Caenorhabditis elegans: one gene and its partners. The protein of the gene in region 4 interacts with the protein of the main gene of each other region in a pairwise test. Each region holds a gene or a part of one and is shown on either strand. Other genes may lie near its edges. The genes, in order: toca-1, skr-20, ifas-3 and fbxa-157.

The links.
Region 1: the proteins of fbxa-157 (region 4) and toca-1 interact in a two-hybrid assay, tested with the Caenorhabditis elegans proteins (one large-scale study listed by BioGRID).
Region 2: the proteins of fbxa-157 (region 4) and skr-20 interact in a two-hybrid assay, tested with the Caenorhabditis elegans proteins (one large-scale study listed by BioGRID).
Region 3: the proteins of fbxa-157 (region 4) and ifas-3 interact in a two-hybrid assay, tested with the Caenorhabditis elegans proteins (one large-scale study listed by BioGRID).

What each region holds. Positions count from the first base shown.
Region 1 is NC_003284.9:1,518,332-1,523,434, forward strand, and holds the start of toca-1 (Transducer of Cdc42-dependent actin assembly protein 1 homolog), read right to left. Parts: upstream 3,157-5,103; 5' UTR 3,064-3,156; coding exon 3,031-3,063; intron 1-3,030. UniProt on the Caenorhabditis elegans protein: Plays a role in protein trafficking, actin organization and embryonic morphogenesis. Potentially acts as a cdc-42 effector. May play a role in hypodermal P-cell nuclear positioning.
Region 2 is NC_003284.9:13,222,478-13,225,676, forward strand, and holds skr-20 (Skp1-related protein), read right to left. Parts: upstream 1,061-3,199; coding exon 539-1,060; downstream 1-538. Other genes in the region: skr-19 (Skp1-related protein), read right to left, coding at 1,764-2,231.
Region 3 is NC_003282.8:15,949,058-15,952,834, reverse strand, and holds ifas-3 (Ig-like domain-containing protein), read left to right. Parts: upstream 1-1,946; 5' UTR 1,947-1,973; coding exon 1,974-2,027; intron 2,028-2,075; coding exon 2,076-2,330; intron 2,331-2,377; coding exon 2,378-2,484; intron 2,485-2,911; coding exon 2,912-3,110; 3' UTR 3,111-3,143; downstream 3,144-3,777. Other genes in the region: Y105C5B.15 (Purple acid phosphatase), read right to left, coding at 157-318, 758-893.
Region 4 is NC_003283.11:17,897,690-17,902,413, forward strand, and holds fbxa-157 (F-box domain-containing protein), read left to right. Parts: upstream 1-2,113; 5' UTR 2,114-2,138; coding exon 2,139-2,146; intron 2,147-2,247; coding exon 2,248-2,454; intron 2,455-2,499; coding exon 2,500-2,586; intron 2,587-2,635; coding exon 2,636-3,272; intron 3,273-3,978; coding exon 3,979-4,188; 3' UTR 4,189-4,217; downstream 4,218-4,724. Other genes in the region: C06H5.13 (FIP (Fungus-Induced Protein) Related), read right to left, coding at 1-57.

The DNA of each region.
Region 1 (5,103 bases), on a different chromosome or scaffold from region 4:
TATATTGTTTCCGATTCTCTAAGAAACCAGATGTACATACAAAACCAGCACACTTTCAAAAAGTTTGAGCAACTTAAATTAAGAGCTCATATAGTCTAATTTCCATGTAAATCAGACTTAAAGTGCCCCAAGCAAAAACTCAAACTTTGCAGAAAAAAGGTGCGGTGAGTGTCCAAGGCGCGGCGTCCTAGAAACTATCGCCAGGACGGAAGGGCGCAATCCGAATGCAATGTGATCTACATATACAATGAATTGTCGACCCCAACACCGATTGACGACGCGACTAGAAGAAGAAGAAGAAGTTAGAAGGGGGAGGAGGAAGGGAAAATGAGGGGAGATGAAGAAAAATGGTTGTAGAATTGAAATGGATTGACAGTAAGGCTGAAGAAGTAGGGGGGAATGGGGAACGGAAGCAGAATGACATTTTCGTTTTGAAATGTTCTCGGTAACTTTTCGACTATTACAGAAATTTTTCTCAGAAAACTTGAACATGGTGCATCAGGTAAAAAAATCGATATTTTTTGAAGGAGCAGCAATAATTTTGTCTAGAAAAATAAATCCGAACATGGTGCATCGACTGGAAAAGTCCGATAAGTTTGGCGGTAAAACCTGAAAAATATGTGAGAGCCAAAGAAATTTTTTGAACATGGTGCATCGGACAAAATTTGTCATAGGAAATGACGTTCTTTTTGGCATTTTATCATATTTTTTCAAACAGAGAAAAAATTTCACTTTACTAGCACAAATTTTGAATGAATAATATACTGATAACCCTTAATATGTATGTAAAAGTGACAAGTTTCAACCGTAAACTTAAAAATTGCTAGTGTAGTTTTCAGTCGATGCACCATGTTATAAAATTACATCCAAGGTTACAGGGACCCCACAAAAAATTTTCTTTTTAAAAAACCTTCTAATCTTATTGATAATTCCCTGCTAAACACAAATACAATCACAGAAAGTACGATTTTGGTGCCGAAAAAGGGAGAAAAAGAGAGTGAAGCTGTGTTTATTTGCGCTTTCCGCCCTTCCCCAACTACCGCTTTTGCCTATTAAATTGGCGAGAAGTGAACGATAAGGAAAGAGCGGAGAACCGACGATCAGAAAGTTTGTGCAATTTTATTAATAAAACTGTTCGGAACCATTATTATATTAAAACCAGGGCTCCCATGTAGGCGCCGCGATCCGACATTTTTTGGGTTTCGCGCATTGCTATTAAGATTTCGGATCCCGGCGTGAGGGCGGCGTTTGCGGCACCCACATGGGAGCCCTAATTGAAAATTTAAAGAGTAAATCGATAGAAAATCCAATTTTCAGAATTCATTTCTCAAGTTACATGCTCTCAAATTTTGAGCACTAGAAATTGAAGACAGTCTGCACTCTCCCCTCGTCCCACACTCTCTCGGCTTTAAGTTCTATAAGCTTGTATCTCTGCGGTAGATTACTGTTATAAACGACAAAAAACTGGCTGAAGTATTGGGAAAATTTGAAAGAAAAAAAATTTTGCTGTTTTTCTGAATCAAATTCAAGCACAAACTGATATGTTCAAAAAGATGTGTCATACTGGCATTTCTGAAATGTTCACAATTTTTCTGTAAACTGATAAGAAACTTTGGCGAAAAAAAAATCGGATTTTGTAGTTTTTAAGAGAAGTTTTTGAGAGAGAGTAGAAAATTAATTTTTTTGAAATCAATTTTTAAAAATACAACGTCTTAAAAAAGTAGGCATAATCAGTGTGAACGGACCAATTTAATAAAAAAAAATGTTTTTAAAATATATTATAGAAATTTCCACTCCATTTTTGAATTTTAAAATTAGAGCGCATTTACCAAAACATACTAACGTGCGCCCAGCAAACCCACTAGGTAACCCTGTTTTTTAATTCTGCGTCTCTCTCTCTCTCTCTCTCTCTCTCTTTCACTCTCTCTATACACCTCCCGCCACTCCTTATTAGTATCCACCTCTACATTAGCAACAAATGACTAATTCAAGTGTGTTCGGAGGGTGGGTGAGCCGCTTCCGCCGTTACTTTGTGATCGCCCGCCACCCCCCGATCTTGCTTACAACTACTAAATTATGTATGCGGGAGACGAGAAGGTATATGTGATATGCGAAAATGTATGTAGGAACGAGTAGAAATGTTTGGTGGGGGGGAGGGGGGGGATCATTAGATTTTATTAAAAATTTGAGAAAAATCCAAGGATTTTCCACATCGAAACTATAAAATTGCACTAGAAGTTGGCAAACGCCAAATTTCAAATTCATCCGAACTTTAGAAATTTCGGAATTTTACCGAATTTCAAAAAGTATCGGGACCGCCCATCTGTGATCATGCCAGTATCAGTACCCCAATATCGATACAAATGATATTATGGTCCGACATCTAACGGGTTTCGCGCCCCACCCAGGCAATTGCAAATAAAATATAGTGCGGCGCAAAACCCTGCGGACGTCTTGCCATGATATCAATTGAAATCCCTATTTTTGCATATTCCCAGAAAATAATCCTTAAAGTGGTTGGGCCCGGAATTTCGTCAAATTTTGGAGTTTTGAAACTGCGGCGGTCTCGAAAAATTCTAGGTTCTGGAAATTCGTGGCGTGGGTGCTTTAGAGCTGTAACAGAATTTGGAAAAATTTTATATTTCCAATTTTTTCCAAATTAGGCATAATCCTGGTATCTTGGAACTTTGACATATTTTTTAAAAGTTCAGCAATTTGAAGCAGCGCCCAATTTTGAAAATCTGAAGTTTCGTGCCATTTTTCTCATTTTGGTGGAAACCTTCTAACCTTTTCACAGTGTGAAGTGCATAACATTACAATTTTAGGCACATATGTACATACTTTTAATCAGTAGATTTTTTGAAATGTTGAACTAGGAAAAAAGGAGGATTCACGGTTTAGAATCGTAAAAAATTCAGCTCAACATTTGGTGATTTTGGCCATTTTTTTAGACCCGCGGTTTTTTCATTTTAGTAGCCTGTTTTCTTATTTTAAATTTTAGTTTTTACCAAGGATTCAATAAAAACTTACCCATAGCTGGTCCCAACTGCAACTGTCGTTCATTGTTCGCCGCTTCTTCAAAAGGTTGTTACCATCCAATCCAATCTCGATTCCTTCTTTTTATGAACACTAATTGGAACTTTTTCGAGTTGAAGTCTGAAAAAAAACTCAAAACGTTAACAGCAATGAGCAGCACAAAAAAGATCCGAACAAACGAGAAGGAGAAAAAAATTGAAAACTTTAGTTCGTAAATAGGAACAAAAACAGTAATCTAAGCTGTTGACGGTTGGGCGTGTCGTGGAGCAAAAATGGAGAGCAATTTGTGGTTGGTGCTCATGGCACCGGGAGGCGGAAGGAAGCATAGGTATAATTGTGGGGGCTCAGGAGGGGGGGGTAAATTTTTTGTGGAAGAGCAGAGTATTTGGAGTGCTATGGGAGGTTGAAAAAAGGTGGAGAAAATTATTGCAAAATTGAGAAATTAATAGAAAAAATCAAGCTTAATCAAAAAAAAAACATTTCGCTAAAACGTGCTAGATTATTCGAAAAATCGGAAAAAGTTTAATAGCCGAAAATGGCCTAAAACCTCCAATTTTCAAACTTTTCCATATGGTATAGTTCACGGTTACCAGGTACCAGAAATTTTCAGCTACCGAATTTACAAAAATAGCATCAGCAAATAGTGAAAAAATTAAGAAAATCAGCAAACAATTTTTCACTTATTTCCGTTGAAACAGGCTAGACCCCAAAGAAACATTCCAATCCCAAATTTATCCGAGAACAGCAACACAGAAAAAAACAAGATAGGCGGTCACGAGAAGTGGGGTCCGCGGTCAGCTCGAGCACCCAGCTCGAGCTGCAGCAGCTCGGACCTCGAAAAGTAGCTCCCAAGAGAAGAAGAAAAAGAAGAGACGCTATTTCTCGCCCAATAGCATATGTATACACATGTGTGCGTCTGCGTATCTTGCTATCTAGGATAGACCTCGGGGTCCCGGGGTTTTCGGAGATATTGATGAGCGAAAAATGAAGAGTTTACAACAATACGCACGGCGCGAGATACCTAGTCTAATCAATTTTTTTCGAATTACGTTGAGGGAAATCTCGTAATTTTGAGTCTGAAGCTAAGCCTGAAATTAGGCCCGAGCTTGCCTAAAAGCTAAAGGGTAACCTAAAAGCTTAGTCTGTACCGAGGGACTCAGTTTTTGAAGAAGGGCATTAAGCTAAGAGCGCAGCCTAAAGGCTTAGACTTCAGGTGCCCAGCCATTACTTTGGGCTTCTTTGGGGCTTGGCGTTCGTGGGCTCAGAATTATCCTTCAACTACGGGGCTTAACCTTCTTGGTCTCAAACTTTGAAGGATGATAAGCCTGACCTCAAGGATTTTAAAATAAGCCTAACCTCAAGGAGCGGAAAAAATGGAGATGCGGCTTTCAAGGGCTCAACCGCCTAAATGCCTAAATAAAGAAAGTAAAAGTTAGCCTAAATGGCTTAGTTTTTGAAGGCTCAACTTTCTGGGTCTCCACTTTTTGGCCCTGACATATATTTTAGCCTTAACTTCACCATCTGCCTTGGCCCGAAAAAAAAAAAAAAAAACCTAAAGCTGACTAAAATATATATATATATACTGGTTTCAAAGGACTTCCAAAAAAGCCCTACAATCACTCTCAGAAAAAACTACCCAAAAAATGCTATGCTTGTCGTACCCGACGTTTCTCAAGGTAATATGCAAAACAGGCCTCCTTTTGTCCCCCCTCCTGCCTCGCCAATCTTTCCATGGCCAAACGCAAAAGTTCAAGTGACCCGCCAAATCGACGACAACACATAGGTAGTCGTGTCTCGGAAGGTTGAGTAGAAAAAAAAGAAGAATGGGGAAAAGGAGGCGAAGAAAATGTATTCGGAAGTTAGTAATGAAAGGTAGTACACCTAAGACAAGGTGACATTGGGACTGAGAATCGGTGACAAGGGGGTAAAATTCGAAAAATTCGGAGTTGTTCTAGTCTAACTAGAAAGTTGGAAAGTTGCAGCTTTGGTCAATGCAAACAAAATGTTGGTCAGTGCAAATCGAAATTCAAAAATTTCGAAAAAGATCTCCTAATCCTTCCCGCATGT
Region 2 (3,199 bases), on a different chromosome or scaffold from region 4:
GAATTGAGCATAGTGAAACTTTACTTAACTAACAAAATTGAAAAATAATATTCCACAAAAAAGGGCAAATTAAGGCAGATGAAAAAAAAAACTTTAAAAAAAAGCACACTATTAAATTTTCCAGATTTAGTAATCAGAACGCTGCATTCAATTCCGTCATGAAGTTTATAAACGTTTAGTTCTTTTAAAACCTAGTATTTTGCAATAAACACCAGAAATGTACAAGTTCGGCCAAATTGGATGCAAAATCAGAAAAAATCGGAAATAAAAATCCGGTAATTTGGGGGCTCACCTCATATTCTGAAACAACGAGAACTTGATTTACATATGGTTCTTTGATATTTAATTTTAAGCAATTTTTTAATTAGTAGTGACACTTTAGTTGTTTGTTTTGTTTTCCAACTATTCTTTTACATTCTTATAACTTCAATTTTTCATTTATGAGGTTTGTAAAATAATTTATTCACAAATAAACTTGAATCAAAGTGTATAAATATATTCTTTCAAACATCTTCTTCACAATATGTGAAATTAAACATCAATCAGAATCCGTTGTGAATGTCATTGCAGATGTTCCCTCTCCACCATTTGCCAACGCTTCCTCCATTTGTTCTTCATCTGACCTGATTCCATAGATCTTGCGAATTTCTTCCGTGCTTTTTCCTCGAATCAATTCTGCTGCGGCTGCACACCCCATATTCATCAAATCTTCGACTCCAAGCGCATGAGAAGCATTGAGTAGTGCAAAAAGAACTCCCGATTCCACGTTGAAAAACTGCTTGTCCCATTCGGAAAAATCGTGGTAACGAATTTTGGAGTCTCGTCGGGCGAGCGGGTTGTCCTGATAATGGTAAAGCCACTCTATTACAGCTTGAACAATCGATGAGTGGAATGGAACGAGAATTGGATCTGCTCGTTCACAATTTCTGTCGTTCACTCCATGGTCAATAAACTTCTGATTGATAAATGCACAAAATTTCATTGGTCCTCGTTCGACATTAAAAATTTGACCATCCTCTGACTTCAGTTTGTACAAGGGCGCAGATCGTGGTGTGGTCATGATGTGGAACTAAAGGTAATTGATTAAATAGTTTTGCAATTGTTTCAAAAATATTATTGAGTGGATTCAAACCACACAAAAATAAATATATAAATGAGATATCTTTAAAGTAATTTTTATTATTTATTTGGCGAATCATAGACCTGTGGAAAAGAGCTGGAAGAATACACTATGAATTTATTAAAGATGGAATGAAACGATTAAAAACTGGAATTGTAAAATTTTTTGAAGAAAAGTGAATGGCGTTGTGAGTCAAGTTGATCAAAGGCAAATTTTCTATATTACAAATCTACAGCGAAAGTTTTAAAATATAAATTGAACGAAGAAGCAGAGAAAATAAAATTGAATACAAGACGGTTGAACACGGGAAATTAGCATTAAATGTGGTGGTGGCTGAGAAGTATGGTGGTTGTATTTAAGTTTTTTTGTAGGGAATCGAGAAGAGAATTTTTGATTCAAACTTGAAAAATAAAGTTGCATTGTTTACAAAATTAGTATGGTTTTTGCATTTTTTCTGTAAAATATAAAAGACGAAGAATACTTTTGCTAAAATGTTGCCCAAATTATCACAAAAATTTCAAAAATGGGCTCAACTTTGATCTTATGATTACATTTTTCTCACTTCAAATATTTACTGAAATGAAAACAAATAGTCTAAATTTTCCCATACCATACGAAACACCACACATCTGAAATGAAATTCCTAAGCCGCTGCAGCCACCACTGGATATACTGGCTGCTCCTCCTCTTCATCATTCACCAATCCGTCAATAATCTCTCTAGGATTTTGTCCGACGACACGGCAGCACATGGCGAAGAGACCAGGTACAGTAAAATCCCTCGCGGCTCGGATTATATCAAAGAGCATGTTGTGCCTCACCATCAGAAACGACGCATCCCAGTCAGGAATATCATTGGTTTCCGGTTCAGATTCGTCGTAGGGCGGGTCGTGCTTATGATGGTCGCACCACTCGATCACTTTCCTCATCACTGTCGCAGGGATTTCTAGTTGAATTGGCTGCAGTTGATCGGCAGGAATCAGGTCTAATCCAGCATTTCTAAATAGGTCCTCAATCCGTCCTATCATTCCGATTGTTCGCCTATCTGCCAGAAATCTCTGCCCATCTGTTGACCGAAGTTTGTAGAGTATTACAGGTTCTTCAACTTGCATTACACTGAAATACTTGAAAATGTCTGTAGTAGAAAGAATGAAAAGAAGAAAAAAAATTAGCAAATAATAGTAATAGTCAGGATTCAAACTATTTCCTTAAATTTTCTAGATGAAGTTCTATTTGTATGTAGTTTCTTGCAGAAGAAAAAACTAAATTAAATCGTTTGACAATAAAATTCAATGTGTAATAATTTCTTTCGCACTTTTGCTTTAAAAAACGTAGCTGAAAATAAAGTTTTTTTATCCGATTCTTAGAACTATTACAATGTTAAACACAGAAATTTTTGGATCAATAAAGTGTATGTCAAGAATATGATGGGTGACCACTAGTTGGTACAAAAAAAATGAAAAAAAAGTCACTGATAAGTCACGACAATCATTACTTTCTGTTGAACAGTTCAATTACATAGCACATTAGGAAAAACTGATTTGAAAATAGCGTTTCAAGAATGTATTATTTTACTAAAATGTTTGAAAATCAAGATTTCAAGAAAATCGATAAGTTTATGTGCGCTCCTCAAGCACACCTTCAGCACCAACGTCTTCCCCCGAAGGCTGGCAGACGACGCGTTTCTCTTCCACGGCCATTAGAAATATGGAAAGTCACGTGAACTCACACAACACAACTATCAAAAGGAAGAGTGTCATCAGATAAGAACCTAATATTTCATTACAGGAAAGGTCTGGAAAAATTGATTTTTTTTTGTTTTCTTGTTCGGCTCACACGGTATTAGAACGACTAAATTATTCCTGTGAAAATAGCAAAAAAATTCGAATTCTAACTTCAAATTTGAAAGGGAAAATAAAATAACCAGTTTCCTCCTTTTTATGCTAGAAACTGACATATGAAACCTTTTTTCTTTTCATTCTTTCGAGAATGAATCAATCTTCCAACACACTACCTATTCCTGCAAGACAAGACCGCGACGCAGCCGCAACGCGCACTTATAAAGCTACCTCGAGCAAAC
Region 3 (3,777 bases), on a different chromosome or scaffold from region 4:
TTCAGTTGTAGTTAACTACTTAACTAAATGTTGCTAGTTTTTATATCGAAAATGTGAAACAGAAATTATTTGTGAAAAAAAATAAAATTTTACTGTTTCACGCTTTATTTATAACTTATATACATTTTTATAATTTAATATCTTATAATTACTCACAATAAGTGTCACCTGGGACCATCTTCGTCATAGTCGCCCTATGGGTATATCTGACGTATCCATGAGATCCCTGGTCTTTCCATGACGTAGTGGTGGCCTTGGCGGTCCATCGAAGAGCATCCTTAGATAATCCGTACATCACATATGGCGTCACATTTGGTACTGAAAATTCCAGAATATTTGTGGAATTCATTGTGGAATTGAAATGTAGAAAACGGGAAAGTTTTTGAGAACTAGATGAAGCAGTGTAAAAATTTTAATTATAATATTCTGTTTATTTAAGGAAATTTTTTTTTAATAACACGCCTATAATGGCATTTTACATTGAAAAAAAAAAACTGAAACAGTAAAAAATTTGAAAATTGTTTTAAAAAAGTTGGTTTTCTTCAAATGTGGCAAAATAATACAACAAATAATATGTGAATTATTCAGAGGAAAAAACGTCATTAACAAATTTTGAAAAACATACACACTTAAAATAGAGTTTTCGAAACAGTAAAAAAATTTTCATAATTTAGAAAAAAAATTTGTAGAAAATTTCACTGGATGCTTAGAAACCCATTATTGAAAAATCAATATGAAAAAACAAAAAAAAACCCACGAGGTCCCTGCGTTAGCCACGTCACAACCATTTCATCCATTTTCCCGCTCAAACTGAGATGAACCTGCTCCACCCGATTCGCTGTCACATTTTCAGAGAAAATCAATAAAACCAACGAAACTAGCAGTTTTCTCATCGTTTTTCTGGGAAAATGATGAGTTTTCCATCTGAAATTCTTTGGTTTTATAGTTTTTAATCTGTTCCGATTCGCGTCGTTTCCGATGTCATTCTTCTTGAGTTATGACTGATTAGCAATAAAAAAATGATAAGAACTGTAGATTTGATGATAATTCGTTTGATTGATGGGGAAAAATGGGGAAAGTTAATTTTTTGCAAAAAAAAATGCAAATCAAATAATAAGATTTGCATCACTAGAAACATTAAAAAATAAAGGTGAAACAGAAGATTTTGTCTTAAAAATTTCAAATTTCTTGCAATTTTTTTGTAAAAAAACTCAAATTTTTCACATAATCATTTGTAGGAATTTACACTCAAAAAAAAAACTGCGTGGGCGTGTACTGCAGAAAACGTAATATTTAGGCCCCGCCTTTTTCTCGTCCACTAACGGAGAAAATGCAAAAATTTTGACCCCAACCAATATTAGGCCGCCGACATATCACGGGTTCCGCGCGCCGCTATGTTTGACTCGCAGCAGGCGGAGACAGCTCGCCACGCCCACAGCGAGCTAAACGCAGCGACGCGCGGAACCCGTGAGATGTCGGCGACCTGAAATTGGTTGGGGTCAAAATTTTTGCCTTTTCTCCGTGAGTGGACGAGAAAAAGGCGGGACCTAAATATTAGGTTTTCTGCAGTACACGCCCACGCAGTTTTTTTTTATTTTGAGTGTAGTCTGATCTATTTGCGTTTGACCAAAAAAACATTTCTAAGTGGAAAAAGCTGAACAGTAAACAGCCACTTAAGTTTGTACTTACTAACATAAGATGAAACAGTCATATTATTTTCCATTGTTTACCTTTTCTTGCTCATTATTTCTTTTAAACAAGCACAGAGTTTTTGCACAATATAATTTCTCTGCTTCTAATTTCTCTAATTTTTTAACTGTAACTATTAACTGCTTAGAAGACAACCATGAAAAAAAAAAAATTTTTCTGTAACAGGAATTTTTTTGAGAAAAAAAAATCATTTTCCAGATTTGACTGGAAATAAAACTGTTAACGTTCCCCATGTTTTTCAGATTGAATATTTTCATTTGGGAATGCAAGAAGAAAGTTATTACAATTTAACAGTTGGCGATACACATGATCGACTGGTAGGCTCTTTTTTTAAATAATTAAATTGTTATAAAAAATATTTTCAGCACAACTTTCAAATAACCGTCGACACTGACTATCGGAACTTTGTTCAACTAGTCAACACGATGAGATCACCTAACATTGCACAACAAGACCGGGCTTTTCTACAATTACAACAGCTAGGATTACAGCACCCGGACTACATTCGAAAAGCCCGAGTCCCAGAAACCATGCGGCAGTTCGCAGAAGGTGCCGCCGGAAAACGGAGGATACGTTCGTGTCATGGAACATATCTTCATTGGTATGACGAAGGATTGAAGGTTTCAAAAAAGTAAAAAAAAACTGTGCTGATAGAGAATAATTCTAGGTTGACATGAAGTCGGGCGAAGCGGGGACATGTGAAAATTGGATTATTGAGGACTGGAACGAGAAAGTGGTTTTCAGGGCAGTTGATCCACGGGGCAAATATCTAAGGTACGTGTAGGCTCTGTAAAGACATGTGGTGTCAGAGTGTCCCATTTCGGTTAAATATATGAAACTTGCGAGAAATTTAAAACTGTTGCGTGTACACTTATATAGGCCCACGGAGAAAAGGCAAAAATTGGCGCCCCAATCAATATCAGGCCGCCGACATTTGACGGGTTCCGCGCGCCACTACGTTCAGCGGGCTTGGCGAGCTGTCCCGCCCTCTGCGAGGAAAATATAGTGGAGCGCGGAACTCGTAAGATGTCGGCGGCCTGATATTGGTTGTGGTGCCAATTTTTGCCTTGCGACTATACAGTACTACAGAAGCGACTATACAGTACTACAGTACAGTACTTAAACTTCCAACGTATAGAATTTGAAAATTGAAAAGAAAAAACTTTCTAGCATCTAGAAGTGAGCCTAAAAAACATTGCAGAGCTTGCCTGGGGAGCAACCAGCTGACTCTAGTATACATTCCTGAGCCAACGGAACTGTGGAGCCCATTCGAAAATGGCAACGGGACCTGGTCGTTTCTCAGTTCTAACGGAACATGGCTCAGTGCTCACGAAGATGGGCAAGTGTGCACTGTGAAGGACCGTCAAGCGTGTGAAGAATTTTTGTTAGAGTCGTGGTAACTTATTTTTTGTTAATAAAATAAATATTTGATTTTGATACTATTGCACTGCAAGGAACGACTCGAAACCGGGCAGATGTCTGGCCATGTATTAGTGTACAGATGATTCTAGACACTTTTGCAAAAAGTTCAGAAATCGAAATCACAAACTGATAAAATCATAATTAGGTGCAAGCATGTGTGGGTGTATCATTTGCTGATTTTGCCAGAAGAGTGACCATTGATAATAACCTTGAATTTGTGTTATAGGCGAAACAGTGAAAGTTTAAAACTGTCCAAAAATTTATTGAATTACTGTTTCAGATAGTCTACTTTTAAAAACTTGTTTTTTATTATTTAATTATGATCTGACAACTCGTTTTCCAATTTCTAAAAAGTTTTTGTAGGAGTTAATTGAGGTTTAAATTTTAAAATGTTTAATTTATGAAACTGTTGGGAACTGGAAAATTGAAAAAAAAAACTATGTAATTCGTTGCGTTCATCCTTACAATATCTTTGACCAATTGTAGTTATGAAATTATGTTAATTTATGTAAACATTATGAAACATTATCGGTTAGTGGAGGTTGGTCAGCTTACCGTACCAGGCATTCGGTAGGTGTTTCATCACCAACCCCTGATACTGTCCGCTGCTCCCTTACACACAGTTGTCAGAGGGCCAGACGGAAA
Region 4 (4,724 bases):
ACAGGCGATAAGTACAAGAAGGTAGAAGATGAAATTCGTGTTGAATGATGTGTCCATTCTTACAGGGCTCTTTTTATATGGAACACTGACAAAAGAGGTATCCAATAAAAACATGTTATTCTGCATTTTCAGATATATGATACCTTTTGTATTATCTGTTTTCAGAATACAACAATACTTCAAAAACATCAAAATAACAATTTTCGAATTTATCCACCAGTTAGTTACAAAAATATGTTTGTAATACATGTTTTTATTGGATATCTCTTTTGTCAGGTTCCAGGAACTGATCCAACTGAGGAAGTCAATGATGTCACAAGTTGAAGAACAGTTGCCAAAAGCCCAGTCACCACTTGCAACACAGCATCCACTTGCACTTGCTCAGTCTGGAACCGTCACTGTATTTTTGTAACCACTAAGAATACAGAAACTTTCAACGGCTCCAACATCTGGAACTTCTGGAACTGGAACCTCCAATGAGCATCCCAAGTTAGCAACACAAGCGATGAGGGCAAGAAGGTAGAAGATGAAATTCGTGTTGAATGAATTGTGACTATTCCATTCTTACAGGGCTCTTTTTATATGGAACACTGACAAAAGAGGTATCCAATAAAGACATTTTATTCTGCATTTTCAGATATACCTTTTGTATTATCTGTTTTCAGAATACATCAATACTTCATAAATATCAGATATTAAATTTATCCAACAATTGAATTGAAAAATACTTGTAACGATACCTCTGAACATTGATGTTTTACCTTTAATAGCCTACTTCACATGGTCATGTCAGATAAGTTACATATTAGCTTGCATATCTTCAATTTCACTCACTCAGAATGTTTTCAACAATTCATTCATGCTTTTTATTGTATATGTATATTACAATTGTTGGATAAATTTAATATCTGATATTTGTGAAGTATTGTTGTATACTGAAAACAACTATTACAAAAGGAATGTCTGAAAATCCAGAATAAAATGTTTTTATTGGATACCTCTTTTGTCAGTGTTCCATATAAAAAGAGCCCTGTAAGAATGGACACATCATTCAACGCGAATTTCATCTTCTACCTTCTTGTACTTATCGCCTGTGTTGCTAACTTTGGGTTTTGCCAGAACACTGGGAGAGTTGTGAGTATCGACGATCAAACTCGTTACTTGACGGAATTGCTTAACGAAGTTAAGGATAGATTCGAAAGCACATCGGACCAGGTGTTTTCATCATCTGATAAAAAGCAGGATTTGGTGGATTCATTGCTGGATCAGATCGACAAACTATTCCTGGAGGAGGATTCACATCCTAAGTAATTCAATAAATCATGTTGTTATTTTGGGAATAAATATATCGAACATTGTGAATTTGCCTTCTTTCTTTTAAAAAAGATTATTATATTACAGAGTGACACGCTCTCCTCTAATCCAAATATTTATTAGAGCGCGCTTGCTAAACTTCGCGTTTCTGTACATCTTGCGCTGTGGGTGAAAGTTTCAATTTTACAGGTTTTAATGAGATTATTTCGTTATTTTCTATTTTCTAGTGAACGAGTGGCCAAAAAATAAAGAAATTGTTATTTTTTCACTCTATTTTTTCACTAGAAATAGTAGTAAACCATGAGTCACATGAGCCCATCTCAAACCATAAAATGCTCTATTCACTTCCTTTCACACATTTTTATGAGGAATACTGATAACAATCGGAGGAAAACTACGCTCGTAAACCCGTGGCCTCTTTTCAACCAACTGTAACCATTTTCTAACTGCCATTAGATTTCGTCCACTTTCCAAATAACTTTGCTCACTTCTCCACCAACTTTCACCAACTTTTTCCAATTGCTCAGAGCATTAAATCATTGCCCAATTTTCCTCAATATTTTTTCCTAAAAAATTACCTCAATTTTTGAAATTTTCTCTTCTCTTCTCACTGTTGTCAATTTTTAGCTAGTTTATTGATTCTCTCGATTTCGAAAAAAAAAAACCTTTTATGAAAACTTGAGAAAGTCTAATTTTTCGTGAAAAAACTCTTCACCGCCCATGAAATCACGAATTTATTTTTTGTTGTCAAAACGTTCCTGGTAATTTTTAACATCGGCCATGATGAAGAAATTTTCAGGGAAAATTCGAGCGGTTCAGTCTCAATGGATCAGTAAGTTTTTCATTTTATCCAACTTTAATTTCAATCAAAATCTGAGATGGAAAAAAGACGAACTTTGTATTCTCCAATGAAAAGTATAACTTCAATTTCAGAATCGATCGTAAAGTTAAATGCATCGTCACGGACTCACGAGCACTGCGAATCTGTATCCTATTCCAACTTCTTCAAGAAATTCCAGTTCTCGATGCATACGAAGCAATGTGCAAGGCATTTGGTGAGCAGTTCATGGAATACCTCCATTTTGAATATTGGTATATGGGACTTTCAAATGGAAGTCTGAACTTGGACTCATATGATAGGTTCGTGTTTTTTCAATCAATGAAGTATGAGAGTAACTATTACAGATTTTATTCATCAGAGAGGAAAGAATGGAAATCTGTTACGAACTACCTTCAAACAATGATTCTGGATAAACTGAACCCAATTGATCGGTATAAATTGATTGCATAGTTTTGTTTTGTAAATACAAATTGTTTTCAGGTTTACTGCAGGTGCGGTTTGTTGTAGTTTTAAATCTATAATCGATTATCAACGTTCTAACTTGAAGAAATTTCATATTTTTCAAGAAGAAAATAACGTTTCTTTGTATATGAACGATAACCTTGTGACCTATGAATTGGACGATGATGACTGCCTTGTGACTTATGAAGAACGGGAGCTTCTTGTTAAGAACAAACGGCCATTGGAGGTTGCTATGAATGATGCATCAAGACTTTTGAAGTGCAGAGGATTAAATCTGGATTATTTCTACGTTAATGGAGTTAAGGACGAAGGGCTCATTTTATTTGATGCTCTTAAAAATGTACTTCAATCAGTTGGAGTCTTGACGACAAAATCAGTATTGATCAATTGGCTTCCTTCTGTTCAAATTGCTGAAATTCTAGAACACTTCAATACTGAAATTTTAGAGGACTTGACAATTAAAAGTAGCGAATCCGATGAAAATTCCATAAAACGTCTGGTGCGCCTTGAACAATGGAAACAAGCAAAGACTCTGACATTGTCTCCTGTTCCACATTATTCACTTATCGTCAAGCATCTTGCTCACTTCCAATCACTGAACTTTGACTTTTCTGAGGAAGCTTTCCCAAGAGGTGATATGATCAAGCTTCGAGATGTGAGTTTCCTACGATACATTAATGTAGGGCTTCCGTTTGAGAGCGGCGCGGCGTCGGCGCCTCACGTCGGCGCGTCGCGCCGGCCGGCTTTTGCCGTCGCCGCTCTGTGCATATTGGCGTGAACTCCGGTGTTTGCGTAGTGTGGATATATGTCTGCACACCGTAGTTGTTCAACGTTAATTTGCGCAACGTGGTGCGAGAGGTGTAGTCGAATTTTTTATTGCTTTATTAGGCTCAACATAGTATGAAAACACCGAATTTCATAATGAAACTTCTTGAAAATTCTAAAAAAAGTTATGGAGGCTCAAAAAATGGCCTGAAATTAGTCAAAATGTGAAATTTAACCGACTTCTCAATGTCGCAGTGGCTGGAGAATTTTTTTTTTTGAAATCACCGTCACATTTTGGGTATAATTATCTTGCGTTTTTAACTTCTTTTAGGTACTTTAAAGTCGATGGACGGCGAGATTTTGTAAAAAAATTAAAAATATTTAAAATAATCCAGCCGCTGCGACATTGACAAGTCTGTCAAAATTCAAATTTTAACTAATTTTAGGGGTCATTTTTTGAGCCGCCATAACTTTTTTTAGAGAAGTTTTCAAGAAATTTCATTAATAAATTCGGTGTTTGCAGACAATTTTAAGTCTAATAAAGCAATAAAAAAATTCGACTACACTACCTTAAATTTTATAGTATAAACTTTCAGGAGATTCTTCTAAAATCCACCAAGTTTGAATATTTTACTTGTGAAAGAGTGAAATTTGATGCGACACTGCTCGTTAGAGTTTTTAAGCCACGCTCACCTCCAAGTGGTTCAACTGGATCAATTGTTTATAAATCTAGAAATGAAACATTCGACATTGCTTTTCATCCTGATGGTTTCAGTATCAAGAAGAGAATTGCCTCGCAACATTGAATTCGTAAATATTCGGATAATAAAGTTTTTATTCTCTACAAATCCCTTTCTTTGTTAAAGGTGGAGTAGCGCCAGTGGAGAAATTGCTATAAAAAATACCTATGGTACTACAATGACCAAATATCATAGTAAAAAAAATTCAAAAAACTATTCTAAATTTTATATGATTTTTTGAAAATTGAAAAAATCTCGAATTTCATCAAATTCCCATTTCAACTACCGCCAATAGTCGATGTTCGAAGGAGCGTGCTTGCATTATTTTAACTTCTATTTATTCATTTTTCTTATTTTTGATTGATTTTTCATGTTTTTTTTGAGTAATTTTACTGGAAATTACATGAAAAATTTAAGATAAATGTAGATTGTTCACTAAAAATAATTGAAAACAGAGATAGCACGTTTTTCAACGACGTTGAGCCTGAAATAATCTATTTCAAAGATTTAGATTTTAGCGCCCGCTTTTTAATAGAAAATTTGCATTTATCTTGAATTTTTCATTAAATTTCCAGTAAAATTACTCAAAAAACATGAAAAAT